Lytechinus pictus: one gene and its partners. The protein of the gene in region 2 purifies or fractionates together with the protein of the main gene of each other region. This does not show direct contact. Links are inferred from orthologs where the notes say so. Each region holds a gene or a part of one and is shown on either strand. Other genes may lie near its edges. The genes, in order: THUMP domain-containing protein 1-like, RNA cytidine acetyltransferase-like and protein AATF-like.

Region 1 (8,271 bases), on a different chromosome or scaffold from region 2:
TGTTTTTTTGGTCGCGCATGGTATCCACTCGTCAATGTAAGTGGCCCCCCCGGGATGTGGGGTAAGTTGTGCCACAAAAACTAAGTACAAAATGTATACGGGAAGAAGCAGCATATGTCAATTTTTTATTTCAAGTCCTTCCACTCGCTAATTCCCTATAAATACTAACATCCTCTAAAAGTAAAAGAACTGTCATGTGAATTTGCACCTTTCTGCTTGCATATCAATGGCTTTTCAAGTTTTTTTTTTGGTTTTATTATACATTACAATAAGAATTACCATGGCTCAACAATTTTACTTGCCACATGTTGGCTTGCTCAAAGTACCCCAGTCCGAACTTAATGCGATATTTTCACATCCACACAATTCTTATGCATCCATCATTTAAAAGACTATGACAAGAATGAAGATCCATACCTGGACTAACAATCTTGTTCTTATTTCTTTATTATATTTAAAGACGTGTGTGGGTAAAAAGCACTCATCTTTAATTTTTACACCCTTTTTTACTTTTTTGGCTGAAATTTGTATTTTTCCCTCTAAAAAAGTACTTTTTGTTTCAAATTAAAAAACAATGTGGTTGGGTAAAGGGTTATGTAATGGGTCATTAATACATGACACCACCACTAATATCTGACTCATTCATTATTAGCCTGGGGCGGTGGCTCAACTTGCCCCTATATGCTCAACTTACCCCGCCTTCCCCTACGGATATCGGTATGGTACGTATACCCATTTAAAATGTTGGGCAACGTACTGTCCTCTGTGTTGGGTATGGGTAGGCCTAATCCCCATTTATTTTTTTTGCTTGTCAAAAATTTTTGGTGGCCCCCCCCCCCTAAACCTAAATTTTCTGGCTTCCGCCGCCAATGGGCCTAACGTATGTTGGTTAAAAAGAATATATTAATCCTGGACAATTTTTATTCAATTGAGCAAATTTATTATACCTAATCATTGGTTTGTATTACCCAATTTGGGCAGATTTTAACCAATAGTTATGTGGACAGTATTGCCCATGCAGGGATGGTTGTATCATACAGCTATAGCTCTATGGTTATATTAGTTGGGCATTTTTTGCCCAACGTACACTTTTCTTGAAGTTATTTATAGGCCTATACTAGTATACTTACTTGAGTCTTGGATGAATAATCAATTCCGACAACAGCAACAATAAATCATTACATTATAATAAGCAAAGAGAAAAGAACAAAAATCGCAGAAAATATCCTATGACAGAACATGAGGCCACTCTATGAAACTTGCCAAACCCAAGTTGATCGTTGTGGCGTGTGCCTGAAATCCATGCAAGCTATGTGGGGAAGTTAAAAATTGATGCAGAGGTTCGAGTCCTGGTCACGTCTTTCGGATGGTGACGTTAAAGGTCGGTCCCATGCAGTCGTAAATCTGATTGACAGATCTCCTTTTTCCTTTTGCTCTCTCTTTCCTTCTTCCATTATTTTATTTCTTTTTTCATTCCCGCTCTTCCCTTCATTCGTTCCTACCTCTCTTTCATTCTTTATTTTCTTCTTTCCTTCGATCGATCGTCCCTCATTTTTTCTTACTTATTTAATTTTTCCCCTTTTTCTTTCACTCCTTCATTCATTCTTTCACACATTAACTAATTTCTTTCCTTTTCTTAATTTCCTTTATTCAAAGAACGAAGGAAACTTTTTTCTTTCCTTATTTATTCTTTCTTTCGATCGATCTAGTATTCTTTAATTTTCCTTCTTTCTTCTCCATTCTCTTTTCCCTTTTCTCTCTCCTTCATTCTTTCTTCACCCATTTGTTCACCCTCTCTTTCTTTCCCTTTTTTGCTTTATCTTTGCATGGCATTTCCTTATTTCTTTCTTTAATTTCTTTCTTTCTTTCTTTTATTTCTTTCTATCTATCTTTCTTCCTTCCTTTCTTTCTTTCTAAATTCTTTCTTTTTTAATTCTTTCTTTCGTTCTTTAGTTACTTTCAGTGATTCCCTTTTTTATTTTGTGCCATGGACATATACAAAAGTGGCATGAAAATATATATGATAGGGGAAATTAATCAAATGGCATATTGAGACTAATTTTAGTCATGGCAGGCAAGATTAAATCACTTTGGAAAAAAATATTACAAATACAAGGTACACATTCCAGTTCATGTTTAAACGAGAGGAAAAAAGCAATATGGTATAAGCCTGCACTTTTAATTTTTTTTGAGCGGTGAAATGTTTCGAAAGAGTTTTCCCAGGCAAGTGAAATATATTTTCATTTTTTATCAAGGTACGCCACTGTTTAGGAGTCACGGTGATCATTGACACAAAGCTGCAAAAATTAATCCCAAGTTACTAATGAAAAATAATTGCCACTATAGGGAAATTAGTATTTTTGGTCACAAAAGTGTTATTTTAATGATTTTTTAAAGTGTGTGTTGTGCACTGCATCGGCATACCATATTCTTACCTGGTTGCAGTGATTTGAGCAAGTGCACTAGTATGGCGTGGGTCATTTTCAACAAAGACGCTCAAACATTGACAAATTTAGGGTTGCTTTGGCTGAGCATTCTTGGGATGAGGTAATGCGTGAAGAGTCATGTGACAAACTTATGATGTATATATTCATCAATGAATTTAATACCATACACAATTCGTGTTTTCCTTTGAAAGAAAAACGTTGTCGAAAAAGAGAATATAAACCTTGGATTACAACAGGAATACTCAAATCATGTAAGAAGAAACTAGAGCTTTATAAAAAAATATTTGAAAAACCCTTCCGAGTATAGGAAAAAGGTATACAGATATTATCGAAATACATTAACTTCAATTATTAGAAAGACAAAGGAATATTTTTATACTAAGCAATTTGAAGAAAGCAGTTGCAGTAAAAGAACATGGAATATTATCAATAGTATTTTGAATAGAGGTGCAAAAAAAGGAAATCAGGATTGTTTTAGTGATGGCAACAATAAAGTTATAGATCCTGTTGAGATTGCAAACAAATTCAATGAATACTTCATAAGCATTGGGACAACATTTACAGATATAGGTAATACTGACTTGCGGAAGTGTAGGTCCTTAATGAATGGTCAGTACCAACAGTCAATGTTTCTAAAACCAATCCAGGGCCATGAAATTATAGACATAGTAAATAAAGGCATTGAAAATAGGTAAAAGCCCTGGTCATGACAATATAACAGTTTCTATCATCAAAGAATCTCTATATGGCTCCACTGGTACATATTTTTAACCTCTCACTGTCCACAAGTACATTTCCTTCTCGTATGAAACTGGCAAGGGTGACTCCGATCTATAAGAAAGGCTCTTCCGACCAATTTTGTAATTATAGACCGGTGTCTCTCTTGCCTGTCTTTTCTAAGATTTTGGAAAAACTGTTCTATTCAAGATTGTTGGATTATATTGAGAAAAGAGGAATTTTAACAAATTTCCAATATGGCTTTAGATCTGGACACTCAACTTTATTAGCCTTAACACATTTTTTTGATCAAATGTGTACTTCTCTTGATGAGAGCAAACATTCCATATGTTTATCATTAGATATATCCAAAGCATTTGACTCAATTAATCATCAAGTCTTGTTATCAAAACTGGAATACTATGGTGTGAGGGGTTTGTCATTACAGTGGATTAAGAATTATCTAAAAAACAGAAAACAGTATGTTGTTTATAACAATTCAACTTCATCTAAAAAACAGCTGACTTGTGGAGTACCCCAAGGGTCAATATTGGGGCCTTTGTTTTTCATTGTATATATAAATGACCTACCAAATGCATCCTCTGCTTTGTCATACATTGTTTTCGCTGACGACACTAATGTGTTTGAAAGTGCAAAAGACCTAGGTACCTTAATACAAAACATGAATAAAGAAATACAAAATGTAAATGATTGGTATAAAGTGAATGGGTTAAGGATAAACATTGACAAAACAAATTTCATGCATTTTGTCCCATGTAATAAACAATATGATAAGAGCTTACTTTCACTTAAGTTTGCGGACTCATCAGAACCCTTAAAGCAAGTGAGTAGTACCCGTTTTTTGGGAGTTAGTATTGATGACAAATTATCATGGTCTTTACATGTTAACGATATCGCACTGAAGATATCAAGAATAATTGGCGTTATGTCATAGCTGAAATCTGTACTACTATCAAATGTATTACTCTTGTTATACAATACCTTGGTTCTACCTCACTTACAATATGGGAATATGCTTTGGTTGAATGAATCAAATACATTGTTAAATCGATTATATCTGTTGCAAAAGCGTGCATTACGTATAATTGGTAAAACTCATTATCTGGCTCACACAAAAAACCTTTTAAAACAATTTAGAGTACTAACTATATATACGAATTGTGTAAGTTACAACTTGGAAAATTCATGTACAGGTCTGAAAAGGGATTACTACCAAAATCACTCCAAAATTGGTTTAAATGCAATAGTGATGTCCATTAATTGTCATAATACTCGTAACTCAAAGAAATGACATAGCATATATTTCAGGACCACTACAGCAGGACAGAGAAGCAATGGAGAAGTGTGAAGTATCAGGGCTATCTAGTATGGTCTGCTTTAACATCAAACAAAGTCCGTCATTAAATTACGGCAGTTTAAGATGAAATACAAAAGTTATCTGTGCAATTCTAAATAATCATTAATCAAAATCAGTGTGTAACTCGTTTTAATTCCCTTTTTTGTCCCCCCCCCTTATTTCCATTAGGTTGATTTTAAAGTGTTCACTGGAGGAGAGAGCTACTCCAGGAGCTTAGTTGGTCACGGTTAGAGTGCCTAATGCCTCTGACCGTACGTGCTCCCGGGGTGGGCCTCTCCTTCCTTCTCGTATTCTCCATTTCTGCCGGGGCTAGACTCGATAAGCTCTGCTTTTTCTAGCCCCGGTCACATTATTTACCATCGTATTTTAATTTTGTTGTATGTTTTTCTGTCTTTTATAATTGTGTGTATTGGTTTTTAATGTGAAATAAATGAAATGAAAAAAATGAAAATGAAAGAACTGTCTTTTCGTTTTCGTTTGTCATTTGAGGTCACAGTACCGGTACTGGTAGTCAATTTACTCACTCAGCTTACTTCAGTTCATTCATTCATTCATACGGCAAACACAGTCACTGGTCACTGCAGTGCAGTTCGTCAATAAAGGTAAGTAGTTGCAGCAAACAATTATTTCATGAGGAAGTTAATTGTCACCATATCTACCTAGGCCTATCTACATCTTGTACTGTAGTCTGGTTGCATTGCCGACCATGTTGACTTTGTGAATTAACGTTGTTACTTTAGTTTTACTTAGCTCAAACAAAAGACACTAACACAAAAAAGGATACGTGGGACAGTAGACTATATTTGCCAACACATCTCAACCTACGGGTACATTACCGCCGCCGTGCACAGGATAACCACTGGCACGGCACTTGCAACACCTTTAGCTTATTATTTTTAAATTAGCAATACATTACAGATTTCAAATTAGATAAACTTTGGAGTTTGGATATGAAACTTACCAAACGATATGATGAAGCCAATTTCAATTCCTCTCTGTCTTTCTGGTACTTTAGTCTTGACTTTATATCGATGATTTTTCTTGATGTCGAAGCAGGCATGGCCATGGGGCCGATTCGCTGGTTCTCTCTATACGCACTGAGAGGGCGCGCGATATTATTTAATAAACTTGCTTGTTTGCATCGGGGAAATAATAAGATGGCAAATATAGCGATCTTCAACGCTTATATATAAGCGTCGAAATTTGTAGCCATCTCCTTGTATTAGTCTATAATATACGACGTGTCAAATTGTAGCGAACTAGTTCGCCATTTCCAGATCTCCTCTATATATATATATACGAGGGGGAATTGTAGCGAACTAGTTCGCTATTTTCCAGATCTCCTCTATATACAAACGACGGGAAATTGTAGCGAACTAGTTCGCTATTTTTCGGATCTCCTCGATATATACACGAGGGGAATTGTAGCGAACTAGTTCGCTATTTTCCAGATCTCCTCTATATACAAACGACGGGAAATTGTAGCGAACTAGTTCGCTATTTTTCGGATCTCCTCGATATATACACAAGGGGAATTGTAGCGAACTAGTTCGCTATTTTCCAGATCTCCTCTATATACATACTACGGGATTTGTAGCGAACTAGTTCGCTATTTTTCGGATCTCCTCGATATGTACACGAGGGGGAATTGTAGCGAACTAGTTCGCTATTTTTTTATTTTTCCAGATCTCCTCTATATATATACGACGGGATTTGTAGCGAACTATATACGAGGGGGCATTGTAGCGAACTAGTTCGCTATTTTTTTGATCTCCTCTATATATACACCAGGGGGGAATTGTAGCAAACTAGTTCGCTATTTTTCGGATCTCCTCTACATGTATACGACAGGAAATTGTTGCAAACTAGTTCGCCATTTCTCATCTCCTCTCTAAAATATAAACATGGCAAACTGTAGCGAACTAGTTGGCAATTTTTCTGATCTCTTCATATACACGAGGGGGAAATTGTAGCGAACTAGTTGTCATTTTTTCCAAAGCTTACATTATTGTGAAGGCTTCAAAGTGAAAATCTGCAGGTTTTGGCTGTATATATTGATGCCATATTGTCAAATTGTAACAGACTAGTTCGCTATTTTCCAGATCTCCTCTATATATATATACGAGGGGGAATTGTAGCGAACCAGTTCGCTATTTTCCAGATCTCCTCTATATCCATACGACGGGATTTGTAGCTAACTAGTTCGCTACTTTTCGGATCTCCTCTATAAAATTATATACACGAGGGGGAATTGTAGCGAACTAGTTCGCTACAATTCCGTCTCTTGTATATATAAAGATTAGAAAAATAGCGAACTAGTTCACTAATTCCTCCTCGTGTATAAAATTTTATAGAGGAGATCCGAAAAATAGCAAACTAGTTCGCTACAATTTTCCGTCGTATATATAAAGAGGAGATCCAAAAAATAGCGAACTAGTTCGCTACAAAAGAAGAGATCCGAAAAATAGCGAACTAGTTCGCTATAATTTCCCGTCGTATATATATAAAGAGGAGATCTGGAAAATAGCGAACTAGTTCGCTATGATTTCCCGTCGTATATATAGGGAGAGGAAATCCGAAAAATAGCGAACAAATCCCGTAGTATGTATCTAGAGGAGATCTGGAAAATAGCGAACTAGTTCGCTACAATTCCCCCTCGTGTATATATCGAGGAGATCCGAAAAATAGCGAACTAGTTCGCTACAATTTTCTGTCGTATATAGAGGAGATCCGAAAAATAGCGAACTAGTTCGCTACAAAAGAAGAGATCCGAAAAATAGCGAACTAGTTCGCTACAATTTCCCGTCGTATATATATATAGAGGAGATCTGGAAAATAGCGAACTAGTTCGCTACAATTTCCCGTCGTATATATATATAGAGGAAATCCGAAAAATAGCGAACTAGTTCGCTACAAATCCCGTAGTATGTATCTAGAGGAGATCTGGAAAATAGCGAACTAGTTCGCTACAATTCCCCCTCGTGTATCGAGGAGATCCGAAAAATAGCGAACTAGTTCGCTACAATTTCCCGTCGTTTGTATATAGAGGAGATCTGGAAAATAGCGAACTAGTTCGCTACAATTTCCCGTCGTATATATATATAGAGGAAATCCGAAAAATAGCGAACTAGTTCGCTACAAATCCCGTAGTATGTATCTAGAGGAGATCTGGAAAATAGCGAACTAGTTCGCTACAATTCCCCCTCGTGTATCGAGGAGATCCGAAAAATAGCGAACTAGTTCGCTACAATTTCCCGTCGTTTGTATATAGAGGAGATCTAGAAAATAGCGAACTAGTTCGCTACAATTCCCCCTCGTATATATATATATAGAGGAGATCTGGAAAATAGCGAACTAGTTCGCTACAATTCCCCCTCGTATATATATATATAGAGGAGATCTGGAAATAGCGAACTAGTTCGCTACAATTTGACACGTCGTATATTATAGACTAATACAAGGAGATGGCTACAAATTTCGACGCTTATATATAAGCGTTGAAGATCGCTATATTTGCCATCTATAAAATACCGTTTGCATCGTTGACGTCAGATCAGCTGTACTGCCATGACTGCTGGTTGCGTTCTAGGCGCTCAGCATTTTTTCGCTGTTCACCGTTATTTTATGATGTAGCGCCATCAGCGATTATACGTGACATGCAACCTGTTGATTTTTGGTACAATTTCCTATTATGCGCCGGCGACTTGAATCTAGACTGTTCGATAGGAA
Region 2 (8,153 bases):
TACTGAACTTCTAGATACCCATCTTAATCATTGGTACCAAAAATGCTTAGAATATCAAGCTTTCACGTCAGAATAAAAAGACATTTTAGCTCGCTCTCTAGTGAGATACATGTATCTATGCTCCTCATGAGTTACTACAAACAAACCTAAACAGGTACATTTTTCCTGTTTTCATGTCATACAAAAAAATTTCAGCTCGCGCTTCGCGCTCGCATTGTTGGTGAGAGTGAGATATGTGTCTCTTTCTCATGAGTCATATATATATATATATATATATATATATATATATATATATATATATAGGGGTGTATGGGTGAGTTTTTTCGTTTTGTATGATCGAGCGCCTTTGGAACGTTGATTCATGATTTTGCCCCCCCCCCTATCTGAAAAATGGATCGACGCCCATGTGTATACATCATGCTCAATAAACAGATCACTATGGTCCAGACAACTTTTGTCATTTTTTCTTTCGTATGAGTTTAGAATAGGCTTACTTGTAACACAAATTGAATTTTCAAAAAAAAAAATTATATAAGTACACTACACTACAACAATGAAGGAATTTCCAAGAACACCATGCATATCAATCACTCCCAAATGTCTTAACTTGTGATTTTAGTGGGGGTAATGTTGAAAGATCCCCATCCACAAGAACTTTTGTGTCTATCATCCCCCCCAACCAGGAATACCGATCGACACCCATGTGTACAGCGCATTACATTTAAAATCCTCCTACTTGTTTTCCATTCTATTCACAGAACTGCACCTCAATACAACTCTTCCTTGATTACTCCATACAATCCCTCTCGCAACCTTAGGTCTTCTAGTTCATTCTTACTCGCTGTACCACAATCTCATAATTCATGGGGGGATCGATCATTTCAACATGCTTATATGGAATAAACTGCCAATAGAAATCCGCAATATTTCTTGTCTCACCACTTTCACAAGTTCTCTTAAAGCCTGGTTATTCACGCAAGCTTTTAGGTAATTGTTATTCTACCCCTCTTTTTAGTAGGTTTTCTTTCTTTCTTCCTTCCTTTCTTTTTCCTTTTCCTTTTCTTTTCTTTTCTTTTCTTTATTGCGCCATGAGCATCTTTTTATGATGGATACCGGCGCATTACAAATGTTCATATTATTATTATTATTGTTATTATAATGTAATACAAACTATATGTATAGAACTCGGTATCGTATTCCGTTTCAGATTGGCTATGCCTGTAGGGCCTACACATTGATTGATTGATTGATACGATTAAGTGAATTCCTCTTCATTTCAAACTCAAACAGATTAACTTGTACAAAGCAGAATATAAATAACAAAAATGAAAAAAAAAAACTCACTGGAATGCATCGCTTGTTTATGTGAGACCCTGCAATTAATAAACTGATACAAATAGTAATTAACAATTAAGGTTCGATAGAATACAATGGAGTCGAACTTTATATGATTGGCTATGACTGTATATAGTCAATCTTTTCGCGGGACCCCTGGTGAAAAAAAATAATTAGATTAATATAATAATTTCTCTGACAATTACAAATCAATATAAAACTGCATTAACTAGGGTAAAAATGGAAAGGGAGGAAGCGCAGCGACCGAATGTAAAAAAAATCAACTGTACTCTAAATCGCAGGGATTTATATATATATAACGTAATGTAATTAGGGACCAATCGAATTCTGGATTCAGTGTTAACCCGAATATTGAATTTATAATCATAAAGGATATAAATTCAAATCCTCGAGATTTGAATTTGAAAGTTTTAGGATTAAAAATAAATCCAAAATTTGATCAGTCAACCTGCAAATCCCTGCAATCTATAATGTATTCACACTGCTTGAGAATGTATTTATTAAGCATCACCCATTTCCATGTGTCGCGATATTAGGTAGCAACTAAGGCGCTGGCATTATAGAAGGGGCTTGTCCTCTCCAGGGCTTATACGCGAGATTCAACCCCGAACCTGTTTTTCACACCGCGTGCAGTGGTATATTTAGTTCCCAAGACCCTGTACTTTTTACCTTTTTAGTCAGTTCCTTAGACCCCCATTTCAGAGTTTCGTGAGGCACAACCCCATCAAAAAATAATTTGTGTGCCCCCCCTCCTCTGGGATTCAACTTTTCAAGAGCTAAACTTCAATATGGTATTGCAGGAATGGGGTTTTAACGCAAATGACACCCCCTACCAAAATTAAAAAGGGATTTTCATCAAGGAGAACATTTCTGGGCCCCGTCTTACAAAGAGTTACGATTGATCCGATCAATCTCATATATATGGAAATCCATCATTGTCATATTTTTGTTCTTTAGGAAATTTGCTCAATGTCCATTGAAAACAAAAAGAACCATACTGATATTTGTCAAGAAAACAGTGAATGTATGAATATACGTCATTTCTAGAAAATATTTTGAACGAACATGCATGTTAGATGTTGCTGGCTATCCATAGTTGCGATTGATCGGATCAATCGCAACTCTTTATACGATGGGACCCTGAAGTGAAACTTATAGCATTGGGCGGAGCACTCAGTTATTGCGAGCCTCAAAACAAATTTAAACATACATAAATTCATAGTCATTAATAGGATTCTCTTCAAGATGAATAGACCACTGTAAAAGAAAATTATTACACCCCGGCTTCCAGGCTTTACCAATCTGCATATAACACACGAGTCTGTAATTACTGTAGAAAATAGGGTCAAATCAATATAAAATCAATTTCAAAATAAATTTAGCCCCTTTCGGGGAGATTAAAACGATCAAGCCATTTCCCAAGAGAGAAGCAAAATACTATCATGACTTGTAAGAGATGTGGAGCGATTTTTACTAAATTAGACAAAATGGTTTAAAATAATTTTGTGAATGGATAGGAGGAGGAGGAGGAGAAGTAGGAGAAAGAGGAGGGGGTTTAATCTGAAGAAAAAATTACTTCTCATTTATTATCTACTGTTGACCTGGGCCCCGTCTTACAAAGAGTTACGATTGATCCGATCAATCGCAGCTATGGACGGCCAGCAACGTCAACATGTATTATTCATGTTTGTTCAAAATATTTTCTATGATGTATATTCATGCATTCATTGTTTTCTTGAAAATTCACTATACTTCTTTTTGTTTACAAAGGACATTGTGCAAATTTCCTATAGAAAAAATTATGACATTGATGGATTTCCATATACTTGAGGAGGTTGATCGGATCAATCGCAACTCTTTGTAAGACGGGGCACAGGATTCATATCAAACAGCTGGGTATAAACGGAAGTGTATTGCAGGGAACTCATTGGCTTACTATACTCTCACTCTGTCATGTTTGATAGAGCATGAATCATTGCATTCTGAATTTATATTTTGCGAGGGAGCGTTAATTATAAAATTTGAATGGCATGATATTTAATCTTTAATTTAGAGTACTTGAAGCAGACATTCGGTATACAAGCTATGTATACATATTCCCCCCCCCCTTGTGGTCATTTTCTTTTACGTGGGGGGGGGGGCTTAAGTCCCTCTAGCCCCTGCTCAACTGCACCTCTAAAGTGGGGGCGTCGTACGTGGTCTATAGTGGTTACGAATCTCGTCTTTCAATGAGAGGGACGTGGGTTATAGAATCTCAGCCACGGCGTGTTTTCCTTCAGCAAGAAATTTATCCACATTGAGCTGCACTCAACCCAGGTAAGGTGATTGAATATGGGTACCCGGCAGGATTAATTCATTGAATGCACCATCAAGCGCCTTTAGCAGCTATTGCGCCATTGAATAGGAAACTAGATGCCGAGAGTAGTGGCAGGGGGGGGGGGGGGACAGGTGCGTAAAAGGCCGGCGTGTTGGAGGGGCCCGAGATACACATTATAGCTTTCTTCTTCCATTAAGTGGTCTCTAATTAGTGTTTAATATTTATTAGTTTAATTAAATTGATAGTCTCCTACACCCAAGTGCTTACATTGAACCAACCACTAGCGGAATGGGAAAATATATAGCGAGGTGATACAATATGGCATATGTGGTAAAAAATATCTAAAATTCCGAGCGAACAAAGCAACTTGAGCAATACTTTAGACATTTTGAAAACTAAGTGTAATTTAGGGTATTTGTGAACATTGAAAACATGGAAAACATTGTAACATTGAAAAAAAATATACCTTCCGATATTTCTCCATCTGTATACGCCAGTGCTACAAATATCGATCAGTAAAAATTTATTGAATACTCCACGCGTACATGGTGTGTGTGTGTCTAGGGGGGGGGGGGGCATGGACCCCCCCCCCGATTTTCACAGGACTCAGGACCAAAAATAAAAGGGAGAAAATAAAAGGAAAGGGAACTGGGTTAAATGCTAATTCCTGAATATTGTGTCAAAACCTATTACTAAATCATATAGATTTTTCGCATCAAAAATGGCAAAAGTTAATTCCCTCTCTCGATCGCAGCTCGTGAGAAATCGCCACATACGACATGTCTATGGCATCCTTTTTTTTGCTCATTACATTTCTTACCCACACTCTTGCCAAATGAAGATTCTCTAAAACTTTAGCCAGTCGATGTTCGAAGGCATCTCCACCCGCGCCACGGTATATTCAGCAACTTTTAGTCAATCAGCGTTCATTATGTTGGCTGGTAAAAAGATTGTAAAACTTTCAGCCAACCAGAATCGAAAGGATTGTGCACACGGCCCCTCCCCCATTTTGGGTCGGTAAGATGTTATAAACTTTTAGCCAATCAGAATCGAGAGTCTCATGTGACTATTTTAGAATCAAGGTACACTAATTTTATTCAGATCTGAAATTATTATTATCATATTCCGATAGATGTGAATCTGAGACATGAATTTGTTATTTGTTTATAAACTGTGCTACATGAAACCAGGACATGAAATAATAATCATTGAAGGCAAAGGCAAAGTAGAAAGTTGTAGACCGGCCAAGTTTACGTTTCACGTCATCCCATCTGAATTGAATTGGAACATGTCAACAACAGAGGGCGCTTTGTCAATACACGTGCGTGAGTCTGCTCCGTCTGCAAGTTATTCATGTAAGTTCGGCATTCTTCACTGATTTCATGGTTTGAATGTAAAAATTGCAATATGTGGTTATATAATTTTGAACTGGTTTGTTGGATGGTTGTAAACTTGATATTTTTGACATTTGTTGTTAATTACAGAGTGTGAAATGAGAGCGAGGAATTGTCTTTGGTCCCATGCGCTTATATCTGCGTGCTTTTCATTAATCAAACTCGGTCTCACTGGAGCTCGAGCTTTGAATCGGGTAGACAGGAATAACCGTCGTTTCTGGGGATTTATTCAACAATTTCTGACATTTTACTGTAATCCCCATTTACCGACGGTAGGGTGTACGTGTGGGCTCGCATGTGTTCTCATTCCCTCCCTTTTGACCTCAATTCACAGTCCAAAGTTTGATGTAATTTTACACATCGAATTTACAATCTAAGGATGTATAACCAACAAACTTTTAAAACTTGATATTTCATTATCAAAATACTTTAAACGATATAGATGAAAAGGCATGAAAATTATACTTTACCGATGTTTAATTGGGTTGAACACGATAAAAATGGTCAAAATGGCAGCCAAACTATGAAATATTTACAAACGAACGGAGAGGGCGTCAACAATCACGAATGTGATATCGATATTGCTTTCGATATTATACGATCTGCTCCTTATACGATACGATACACTACACGAAGATAAACGATACTAGTTATAATCGCGATATATCGAGACATTAAAAACTTAATAACGATAATGACGTCATTCAAGATGGCAACTTGCAAGAAAAACCGTCAGGTCAGGTGAAAATGTCTTAGATGACAGATTTCTCAATCATCCAGAGGATTTTTTTCAATAACTCTGGCCCAAGGTATGCAATTACTTAAGTTATTTATATTTCCCTGATAATAGAAACCATGAAACTTTTAAATTTGCTTAAAAAACAGTTCTAAATCGCGATCTATAAAACGCTACTTCACTATACGTTGGCTGTAGGTAAGGGCCCCCATCCTCTTCAGTCTATGTATTGGTCAGTGAGCCAACGCAGTTCAGCGGAACAACCAAAATACAGAGACTGAAGCTTTTGGTCTACGAATCGGGGCGAGTTGAGAATCCGGGGTTTTACTTTTGGGTAGGGCTCTCCGGACCCCCTCTAAAAAAAGCGTCAGAGGCACTTTGTTATAATATGCATGTAAACAGAAACAAGGCCTGGTCCTGGAATTGGAAAATCATGCGCTGCGCATATGAACTTTGGCCGTGTTGGGGGTATTTGTTGAATTACCATCCTAACTGTGAAAGTTTATGGATCTAGTTCATAAAACTTGGGATATAAGAGTAATCAAGCATCACTGAACATCCCCTGTGAGTTTCAGGTCACAAAACCAAGTCAAAGGTCAGTTAATAAACTTAGGCCATGTTGGGGTAATTGTTGAAGTGCCATCATAACTTTGAAAGTTTATGGATAGAGTGAATGAAATGTGGACATGGGTGTAGTTGACAGTCTTAAGTCTCCGTTCAAATGTCATTTATGGTCAATGAACGTGGTATTATGTCATTATATGAATGATTATTTTATAGTAGTTTTCAAAGTTAGCACTGCTGCTATATTAAATTGCGTAATGCAGGCGAGACTGCCAGAGGCGTTCCACTTGTTTGTCTTCTCCATTTCTATTTTTTCTCATTTTAATTTAGCAGAATAATAAGGTTTATCAAAAAGAAATAAAAGAAAACAAAAAATACATCTTACTTTAAAAATATACGTCAAAGTGTTATTGAAGATTTTTCTTGATACTTGAAAATTAAATTTCTATATTGGAAATAATTTAAATGCTGGTCCTCTTGCTTATTTGACTATTTATTCATATTTTGCAGAGACTGCTTGACCAAGACATAGCGAGGAGTTGATTTTCAAGATGGTTCGCAAGAAGATTGATAACCGCATCAGAGTACAGATAGAGAACGGCGTGACCCAGGGTCATAGGTCATTGTTTGTGGTTGTAGGAGACAAAGGCAAAGATCAGGTTAGTTCTCCAAGGGGCTGTTGACATAGTAGATTTCCTGTCATAGACTCATGTGCTCTATTGATAATCTTGATATCTGAACTTTTATATGAAATATTTTGAAAAAAAATTTAGAATTAATTTTATAGGCCTATCGAATTTCCTACTTTGATTTGTATTTACCCTCTTCCCCTTTCCTTCTTGTCATTTGAGCCCCAAAATGCAATAATATGAAGTAAACAACAAAATAATGTTGTGAAATGGAGATTATTATAATTATCATTTTATTCTGCAAAAGAAATACAATGTAAAATTACATCTGACAATTATAGAATGCATTTCTTTGGAATGCCGGGGGACAAAAAAAAGGCTAACCTTATAATAAATGGCAGTTGCCTTCTGTCCCAAAAAGGTTTATGAAAAAATGAATTAAAATGAAATGAACTAAAAAATACAAAAGAGAAAGATCAAATTTTAATAAATAAACTTGTTCAACATTTATTCAGCCAGCCCGTAGTTCAATAATTGTACCAAGTGAGCTTGAAAGAACCTCACTTCTCTGTATTTCCTTTTTATTCCTTTTCTTGTCATATACGGTATAGGTTGTGATTCTACATCATATGTTATCCAAGGCTGTGGTGAAGGCCAGGCCATCTGTACTATGGTGTTACAAGAAAGAACTAGGATTTAGCAGGTGGGTTATTGATGATGAATATGTCATTGTACATCAGGAGGGGTTTCCACAAAGAATTAAGTGGGACTTAGAGTTATGCTTAAATACTCACCTGCACATGATATAGCATGCAATCGTATTGATTAATACACAGTAGTGCGTGTCCTCTTTCATTTGACCAATAGGGTCATGCCTTCTACATGTATCCCGCACGCAACATTTAAGTGTGACTCCAGGTCACCTTTAACTCATGTGAAACACCCCCAGAATACAAGTAATTATTTAGGAACTTTAGATAAGCAATTTTGTCTTCAAAGAGTACATAAGTACTTCATGCAGCATTTATTTCTGTTAAAGTTTGATTCGTGCCTCAAACATGAATAAAATATTTTCTAAAATGCCCTCCAATCCCATAAAGGAATACATATATGAAATACATATAAAGGGATGGACTGAGCTTTGATGATGGCAACCA
Region 3 (8,720 bases), on a different chromosome or scaffold from region 2:
GGGTAAGTTGGAACACTGCATGGTCAATTAAGAATTATACTAAAACTACTTAAAACTGTAATATTACATGGTTTTAGCCTATTTGCTTTATCTTATTCAAGTTCAAAATATTAAAGTGTGGATTCGTTGAACTTTATGTTTTCTATTATACAGCCACTCACGCAAGCAGACTGTGTAGTAGAATTCCGCATATTTGGGTGCGTTTGAGTTTACATGCAATTAAGTGTACTATCAGCAATTTCATGTACTTCTGCATCAAATTTATGAGACAAAAATTGATTGTTTTTATTTTTTTCATAATTAATTATGCAAATAAGCATATAAAATTTTCCAGAAATTTGTTTTTTTTTGTATGTTTTTGCCTTAAACTATATTTATTAAGCTAGTAGAATTTTTGGTGAGAGTATCAATTTTCACATTTATAACAAATATCCACCAAAAAATGCAAAAAATATAATTTCTTATGTATTTTTTTTTTTTCGAACTTTGTTTTCTCCGATGGACTTTGTCAGGAGTCTTTTGCGATCATAAATAGCATAAAATTAATCTATGTGAACCAGCAAAAGTAAAAAATAATCATACATTTATGACTTTTGGTTGAAAAACGCAATTTGCATTGACCTTGTACATGGAATCACCTTTTTGAACAATTTTGGGTCCGAACATGCACATACAATTTGTTGCGTAATTTTTGTTGCGTAATTTTGAAACACAGGCATCACAAATTTGGTCTCAAATGATGCACAAGACTTGAAAGTAAAAAGTCAGCTAGCAGTGTAATAAAAAAAATTCGTGCGACGGCGTAGTGACAAAATTTCTTGAGGGGGGCTCAAATTGACCCCCCCCCCTTTTGATAAGGGTTAACATTGCATTAGGTGCCTACAATAGGCCTTAAATGCACACTCAGACCTAACTGATAAACAAAACAAGCATGGTATACAATACATGTTCAGAAGAGTGTGAAATACTTTGTTTTTTTTTCTCATATCCAATATTTTCATTCATAATTATGTTTGGGGTAAGTTGGAACATGTTCCAACTAGCCCCTTCAATTTTGTTCCAACTAACCCCGGAGGCTCATTTGACGTTTATAAGCTTACAGCACAAAAAAGGGACTTCACCATGGCATATTAATAACCTCATTTTGTAGCTTGGTATAAGTGTCTATTATACCCCTAAACTGGCCAACTTGATCTGTAAACTTCTCTGAGATAATCAAACATTTCTGAACGAGAAAAAATTTACTCAGAAGGTCAAAAAACAAAAATTTGTTTCTAACTTCACCAGGCTTGTTGCACATGTGTTGTCTGTAATATGGTGGATGGCCGTTGATAATGACAATAACTTGAGGGCAGTATTGCAGAAATTTATTTAAAGACGTTAAAGAAAATTACAATGTTTCAACTTACCCCATGTTCCAACTAACCCCGGTCTCCCCTACTGCTAGAAATTGTATTGAATCAACCGAGATAAAGTAGTCATGCATTGTCTTAAAATGCATACTTGCCTATAGTTTCTATTTCGTACATTGTAAAAACTCCGGTGTTGATTTAACACCAGCACGGAATATATATGTCCACACCAGAGAAGTATTGAAACAACACCAGTTTGGAATCAAACTGATGCTGTTTTAATACTAATTGGTGTTGTATAAACACCTACATGTATCTGGTGTTAGACCAAAACCAAACTGGTGTTGTTTAACACTTGTCTCGTGTGGACTTATACAGATTCCGGGCTGGTGTTAAATCAACACCAGAGTTTTTGCAGTGTAGGGACAATCCCTAGAGAGGAAGAAAAGAAGTGACACTTTTCACCCCCTCACTGCCTTGTGTTTTTTTGTTTTTGTTGAAAAAGTGTCTGTAGTATTGTGTATGATATTAAGCAGTACTTTTATCTATATTTTTTTACCCTTTCTTTATCATTTACCGTATTTGCATATATGGACCGACAGGCTTTGCAAGTGAAAAAAAATGCAATGAAAGTTCTCTTACGTGTATTAAACTAGAAAAGATTTGAAATATAATGTTCTATAACTCATCGATTTTTATTTCTTTCTCTACCTCGTGCATAAGGTTTTATCATGACTGGCTTTCACATTTTAATATGTATATTGTACTTATACCTTTCTACATGCACATGAACATTCCAGCTGCCACGGTGGCATAGTCTGCATGGCACAGACACTTGGTTTTTGCAATTCGCATAGTGCATATTAAATAGCGTCTGAAATAGTAAGACTAGATTCACTATGTATTGTGGCTGGCACAGACAGAGAGCTTGACATATAGTCTTCAATCTAGACATGGTATGATTGGTCATAAAATTTCTAATATGAGTCTGCTTGCAGACTAGCTGTGGTCTGGCGGTTCTGACTCTCGCGTTTGAAACAGAGGTTCATGGGTTCAGATCCCAGCCATGGTTTACATGTAATTTCCTTAAGCAAGAAATGACTCCACATTGTGCTGCACTCAACCCAGGTGAGGTGCATGGCAGGGTTGGGCTCAATTTCTTCAATTACAATTACGATAACAATTACGTAATTGAAGAAATGTTCAAATACAATTACTTTTCAATTAAATTACTTTTTTTTCATTTACAATTGCCAATTGCTTTTGTCAATTACAATTACATTTAGTTATTTTCTATAAAAGTCATAAATGAAATTAATTTGTATTCTGTACGTAGCACCACCTATTTCAATATAATTCTAAGTTACAGAGAAACTATGTGTTAAAGAGCACCGATTCTGCCTCTTTCTCTCTTTGATGCTGAAGCAGTTGACATGTAAAATGTCATGAATTTAAATCATAAATTAAGTAAGTTTATTGTAAAGTAATAAAATGTAATTGACAGTAATTGAAGTCAATTGCATTTTTTTTTCAATTACAATTACTTTTCCTTTCAAAATTTCAAATACAATTACAATTACTAATAAAACGTAATTACTTACATAATTGATCAATTACCTTGTAATTGTGCCCAACCCTGGTGAATGGGTACCTGGTCACGATAAATTCCATCAATGCACTAGGCACCGTTAATATTAACAGCTGGAGCTGAAGCTCGGGTAATATATAGTCCGCCAGTGAATGGGCAAATATAGAGAATCACTGCCTCATAAATATTGTGTATTAACTGAAAAGAAGATCGAAATTAAGCAACTTAAATAACTGGTTACAACACCTACAATCAGGGAAGATGCATGATGCAATTTAATACTTTTTCATGGAAAATTTTAGAATAATAAACAAATCAGAAAATTTTTTCAATTTTTTTATCAGACAAATATTTCATTCAATTTATCTGCTTGCTTATTCATTTTGCCATTTATATGATTTTCATGTATTTGATCACTTCTATATCTTAGCATTTATGGATTCCTTTCATTGTTTGTGTGTGTGGAGGGACAATGCAGATATGTATTTTGAGATGACTATTTGATATTTGTTTAAGAAATGTTATTAATATTTAGTGATTAAGACAAAGGATTGACCGTCCTGTGTTTGTGTGATTTGCAATCATTTAGTAATCCTTAGTCAATTTTGCAATTGGCTGAATTTGTTAATAATAAAAACAGAATTAAAAAAGTCAATCCTTTGGATTTGTACATCAGATATATTCAGACTAAAACTCATATATGTTTTTATTTGAAAGCCTTACTTTTGTTTCTCTATAAATTATTTTATACCCTTTGTTTATACTTTCAAGTAAATATTATGTATATTTCGTTCAGATGACGGTCTAGTTGGATGACAATGTGAAAATGAGGAATAAATATTTGATGTGATTTCTACTTTGTTATGACTCTTTTGTTCTTGTTGTTGTTGCCCAACATGGTGCATTTGGGGGAGGTTTATTTCCAATTGGTCCAATGCCAGTTCGTCCAATATTGCCAACTCGTCTACTCTCATTTGGTCTACCATCAGTTCGTCCACTATCCACATGATTGTTAATTCTTCTACTAGGCTCACCATTTTGTCTAATAACCAGTTGGTCCAATAACTGTTTAGTCCATATACCATTTGGTCTAATTGGACCAAGTGTTAATTGTGCAAAATGAATGAAAATAAAACGGATATTGGACCAACTGATTATGAGATGAAATGGTCATCTATAGACGAAATAGTGATTAGATGAAGTGATGATTGGAACAAATGGTCATTGGACCAAATGGTTGTTAGACGAAATGGCATTAGACTAAATGAAAGTAGACCATGTGTTGAGTGGACGAGTTGGCAGTAGACGAATTGGCAATTCACCATCGGGGAACTTTGGCGGGAGGTGTGGTTTAAATTAAAATGGAAATCCATGGACTCTAGCAAAACATTTATTTGAATAAAAAGAGAAAAATCAGCCAAGCATGACATTAATAAGTTCAATCGAAATCAAATGTAAAATGAGAATTTAATGACATTTTGAAATTTCATTTATTTTTCATAAACCACGATGCAACTATACAGTGATATGCAAATGAGACAATGATGTGGGGGGTGTGGTCTAGTGGTTATGACTTTCGTCTCAATCAGAGGAATGTGGGTTCTATTCCCAGCCATGGCGTGTTTTCCTTCAGCAAGAAATATACCCACATAGTGCGAACCCAGGGGGTGTTTCACAAAGATTTAAGCCGGGATGACGTAAGTCGCACTTAAATGCCAATATGTGTACACGATTTACAACGCGCGAACTTATTGATCAATGTACACAGTATAGTGCGCGTCCTCATGACACGATCTGACCAATGAGGTCAAGCCTTTTATACTGTACGCACCTAGACAGGTAAATGCCGGGTACCATGCAGCGGTTGAGGATATTCACACCACAGTTAAAATTAAACGTCCATCAAGAAAATATTGTTCGAATCTTGCCCCCTTCCCCCCCCAAAAAAAAAAAATTGTTTAAATGTTGGCTTCGAGTGGACACCCATTCCGAATTGTTTCAATCCTCAACCGTGTTCTATAATTATATACAAAACAAACTATATTTAAGTATTATTGAATATGAGAAATAATTCCATTTCTAACTTGCTCTTGGAAGATACGGTGCTAAGTTGCACAGTACACGTACGTGTGCTACATTCAGCATTTAAATGCATGTTCGTGTGGGAAAGCAAATTTCACAAGCTACGAAAAATGAAACACAAACAAGTAACGCTTTCAGAGCAAATTCTTGCTTTGAATAATCCTACACCTGTAGATGATCCTATTGATTACTGGGATGAAAGTGAGTATGATATTTACTGAATAAATATTGTTCTATATAGATAATACGATACTGCCATTAAAGAGCAGTGTGTCATTTCAGTCCCACACATGTCATTTTGTGTAACCGAGATTATCGGGGAGCCACGCCGCCGCGAGTAGCAGCCGAAGGCGAAGCCAAGCAAACGAAGACACTGGCCAGGAGCTCTCAGGCGCAGGCGCCACTTGTTCACTGCAACCATCCTGCCTGTGGGGAATCTATCATTAAAATATCAGTTTTTTGACCAAAATTATTAATTTCCATACAGTTACCCTTCCTGGTGGAGTACTTCAGGGATTGACAGTAGAGGCGCTGGTCCAAAAATTGGGATTGTCCCAGAAAACAAGGATATCCTCATAAACCAAGACAAATCATGTCTTGATAAATTGAGACTGTCCTTGTTTATGGGGACGTTTTTTTTTCACTTCCCCCTACGGGACAAAGACAGCAATTACGGGAATTGAGAGTGCTAAAAATAGATTCAGTGACCTCAATTCCCCCCAGTTCACCGTCTATTTTTCATGACTTACTGTCTTCCAATAATCTTGTTATGAAACCCGATATGTTTACATTGACTAGCACACTTGATTGGTGTCGGCACTTGACAGGTGAATGAACTTTCCTAGATTTCTTGTGTGAAGAAATCCTTATAAACTGAGACAGTCCCTGTAAACTGGGACGATCCCAATTTTCTGACCAGCGCCTCTACTGATTGAAACTAGGCCTACAAGGTAATTTATTTTTCATTAATCATGACATCAGTAACTTGGGAATAATTTTTGTATTCACCGGAGCGTTCAAAAACTTGAATTTTGGGGATATTTTTGTGTACGCCCTCTATTGGTGGAAAGTAATATGGCAAGAAAATTTTCATTTTTCAATCTCTATTTTAATTCAGAAAAAAATAATTTAAAGAATCAAATTTACGTAAGAGCGCAGAGCCAAGTTGTATGATGAATAGGTGTAATGGAAACTCTGTAAAAAAAATCAAGCATTTGTCCCAAAGAAAAAGAGAAAATAAGCCAAATATTGCCACCCTCAATATTTTGCCACACATGGAGATATAACAGAGAACAAGGTTATATCATAACCTTGTCCATTGAATGAGTGTCGGGCGCCTGGCTAGAATCGCGAATTTGATTAAGAGACTTGCTTTGACTTTTGCGATCAATTACTGGCATGACTGGTGGATTAGTTCTAACACTAAAAACAGATCTATCTCGAAGTTGGCCAGTGAGTACGAAGCCAAAACTGCGCTGAGGCTGAGCTGTGTGTGTGTGATTTGGAATTCTTGAATCTTAATGATAATGTTTTTTTTTTGTTATTTGAAATTGTTACTTAATCTTGTTGTGGTAGGCACGGCCATAGCGCACTAATCAGTGGTGCTCTCGCGGATATGCACAAAATTTGTGTAGGCGCGTCGGTTTGCTTATCAGTCAGAGGCGCACGGCCAATATGGGAGACTCTCCAATAAGGGAGACAATCTCCCATATTGGAGACTTGCTTTGTAAAAGAACAAAAGAAACAGCACCAACAAAAACATGATTTTTTTTCCACCCAAAATTTTGTCTCACTGAGGTCAGAAGCCCATTTGTTTTGTGTGTGATTGACAACAGAAATCCTTATCAAAACAAAGTAGACAGTGAATTTTTAAAGTAGACGGTGAAAAGGGGTAATTTTTCATGAGGAATCTGCTTATCAAATTTTTATTTGCCGCCAAGGTAATCCTTTTCCAGCAAATGTAAACAAAGGAAATTGATCTCCAAAACTGGAGACTGTCTCTGAAGTTGGATACCCAAATTCTTTACAAAAGTCTCTGATATTGGAGATAATCTCCCACATTGGAGACAGTCTCCAATATTGGCCATGCGCCTCTACTGGCCAATATGGGAGACAATCTCTCATATTGCAGAGATGCCAACCCTCCCGATTTCATCGGGAGGCTCCCGAAAATTCATCCCAACTCCCGCCCTTACGATTACCATCCTTATCCTCCCGAAATTACGATTTTTTTTTGCATTGATCAAATTGGATTGGAAGTACATGTATCGTCTGCTAACTTTAGCATGTAGTAACTCCATTACGTTTCGCTGCTACTAAATTCTGTGTGAAAGGCAGACAAATAAGGAGCAGCGAAAAGCTGGTGCATGTGATATGCCCAACGGGAATCCACTGTGCACCAGGCCGGTAGGCCCGGCTAGCTTCGCGAGGCGTGTGCGCTCGCGGCCGCTGGATTTGTCGAGTGGTGCGATGGAATATCGGTGTGTGATTTCGGCGTATTGATGGGTTGATATTGACACGAAATGGCGGAAAATCAACAAAAAAAGACCAAGAAATGGTCTCAGAAGTATAAGACTGAATACAGTCTCCAGTACCCGTGTATTCGGAAGTCGGAAAGAGGAATCTACCATGCATTTTGCACAATTTGCAGCGTGGACATTAAAGTTGAGCACGGAGGTCGTGATGATGTTCGGAAGCACGTAGGGAACAAACGGCATACGGACATTGCGAAGACGAGATCTTCGAGCTCCACTAGTATACCCTGTTGACTTATTTCACCAAGCAAGGGACCAGCGAGGAGGAAGACGTTACCCGCGCTTTAATAATAATAAAGAGGATAATTCCTCATTATTATAGTTGAAAAGGTAGGCTACTTTTCTTCTATTGTCCCCTCATTTTTTTTACATGTAAAAATGCATATTTGATATTTTTATTTTTATGTCAAAAAAGTGGGAACAATGTTTTTTTAAAAACATGTGAAATGCTCCAAAATAAGGGTCAGATTGCACCAGAGAGCATCTAGAAACCCAGAGCTTCCAGGGCCCTAAGGCGGGCCCTCGACCCCGGCCGCAAGGGTCGAGCGCTCCGCGCTCGAGATGTGCGCTACGCGCACATAATTTGGTGTCGGTTGCAAATCCTCCCTAATTCTGATTTCCAAAAGTTGGCATCTCTGATATTGGAGACTTGCTTTGTAAAAGAACAAAAGAAACAACACCAACCAAAGCGTTATTTTTTCCACCCAAAATTTTGTCTCGCTGAGGTCAGAAGCCCATTTGTTTTGTGTGTGGATAACAACAAATATCCTTATCGAAACAAAAGTAGACGGTGAATTTTTAAAATAGACGGTGAAAAGGAGTAATTTTTCATGAGGAATCTGCCTATCACATTTTTATTTGCCGCCAAGGTAATCCTTTTGCAGCAAATGTAAACAAAGGAGATTGGTCCCCCAAACTGGAGAATGTCGCTGAAATTGGATACCCAAATTCTCTCTCATGGGAGACAGTCTCCCATATTGGCCATGCGCCTCTACTGTCAGTGCGTTGATGCCCAGTTTGGTGCCAATATTATGGCAAATTGTAACGACTAACGTTTAAGTCTATGGCAGGGCGGAGGAATACTCAATTTCCCCCTCTGTGATTGTACCCCTGTACAATGCATACAGCGGCATCGTAACCGACTGGATTTTAGCTAGATTTTGA

What was found.
Region 1: the proteins of RNA cytidine acetyltransferase-like (region 2) and THUMP domain-containing protein 1-like purify together in Homo sapiens (co-immunoprecipitation; 3 studies listed by BioGRID and IntAct, counting the BioPlex papers as one, with this or other methods). This does not show direct contact. The link is inferred for Lytechinus pictus from reciprocal best matches to the Homo sapiens genes NAT10 and THUMPD1.
Region 3: the proteins of RNA cytidine acetyltransferase-like (region 2) and protein AATF-like purify together in Homo sapiens (affinity purification with mass spectrometry; 3 studies listed by BioGRID and IntAct, with this or other methods). This does not show direct contact. The link is inferred for Lytechinus pictus from reciprocal best matches to the Homo sapiens genes NAT10 and AATF.

The regions. Positions count from the first base shown.
Region 1 is NC_087254.1:17,881,737-17,890,007, forward strand, and holds the start of THUMP domain-containing protein 1-like, read left to right. Parts: upstream 1-5,075; 5' UTR 5,076-5,144; intron 5,145-8,271. UniProt on the Homo sapiens protein: Functions as a tRNA-binding adapter to mediate NAT10-dependent tRNA acetylation modifying cytidine to N4-acetylcytidine (ac4C).
Region 2 is NC_087253.1:12,147,557-12,155,709, reverse strand, and holds the start of RNA cytidine acetyltransferase-like, read left to right. Parts: upstream 1-4,963; 5' UTR 4,964-5,028; intron 5,029-6,877; 5' UTR 6,878-6,918; coding exon 6,919-7,026; intron 7,027-7,607; coding exon 7,608-7,699; intron 7,700-8,153. UniProt on the Homo sapiens protein: RNA cytidine acetyltransferase that catalyzes the formation of N(4)-acetylcytidine (ac4C) modification on mRNAs, 18S rRNA and tRNAs.
Region 3 is NC_087250.1:8,038,474-8,047,193, reverse strand, and holds the start of protein AATF-like, read left to right. Parts: upstream 1-5,074; 5' UTR 5,075-5,093; coding exon 5,094-5,223; intron 5,224-8,720. UniProt on the Homo sapiens protein: Part of the small subunit (SSU) processome, first precursor of the small eukaryotic ribosomal subunit.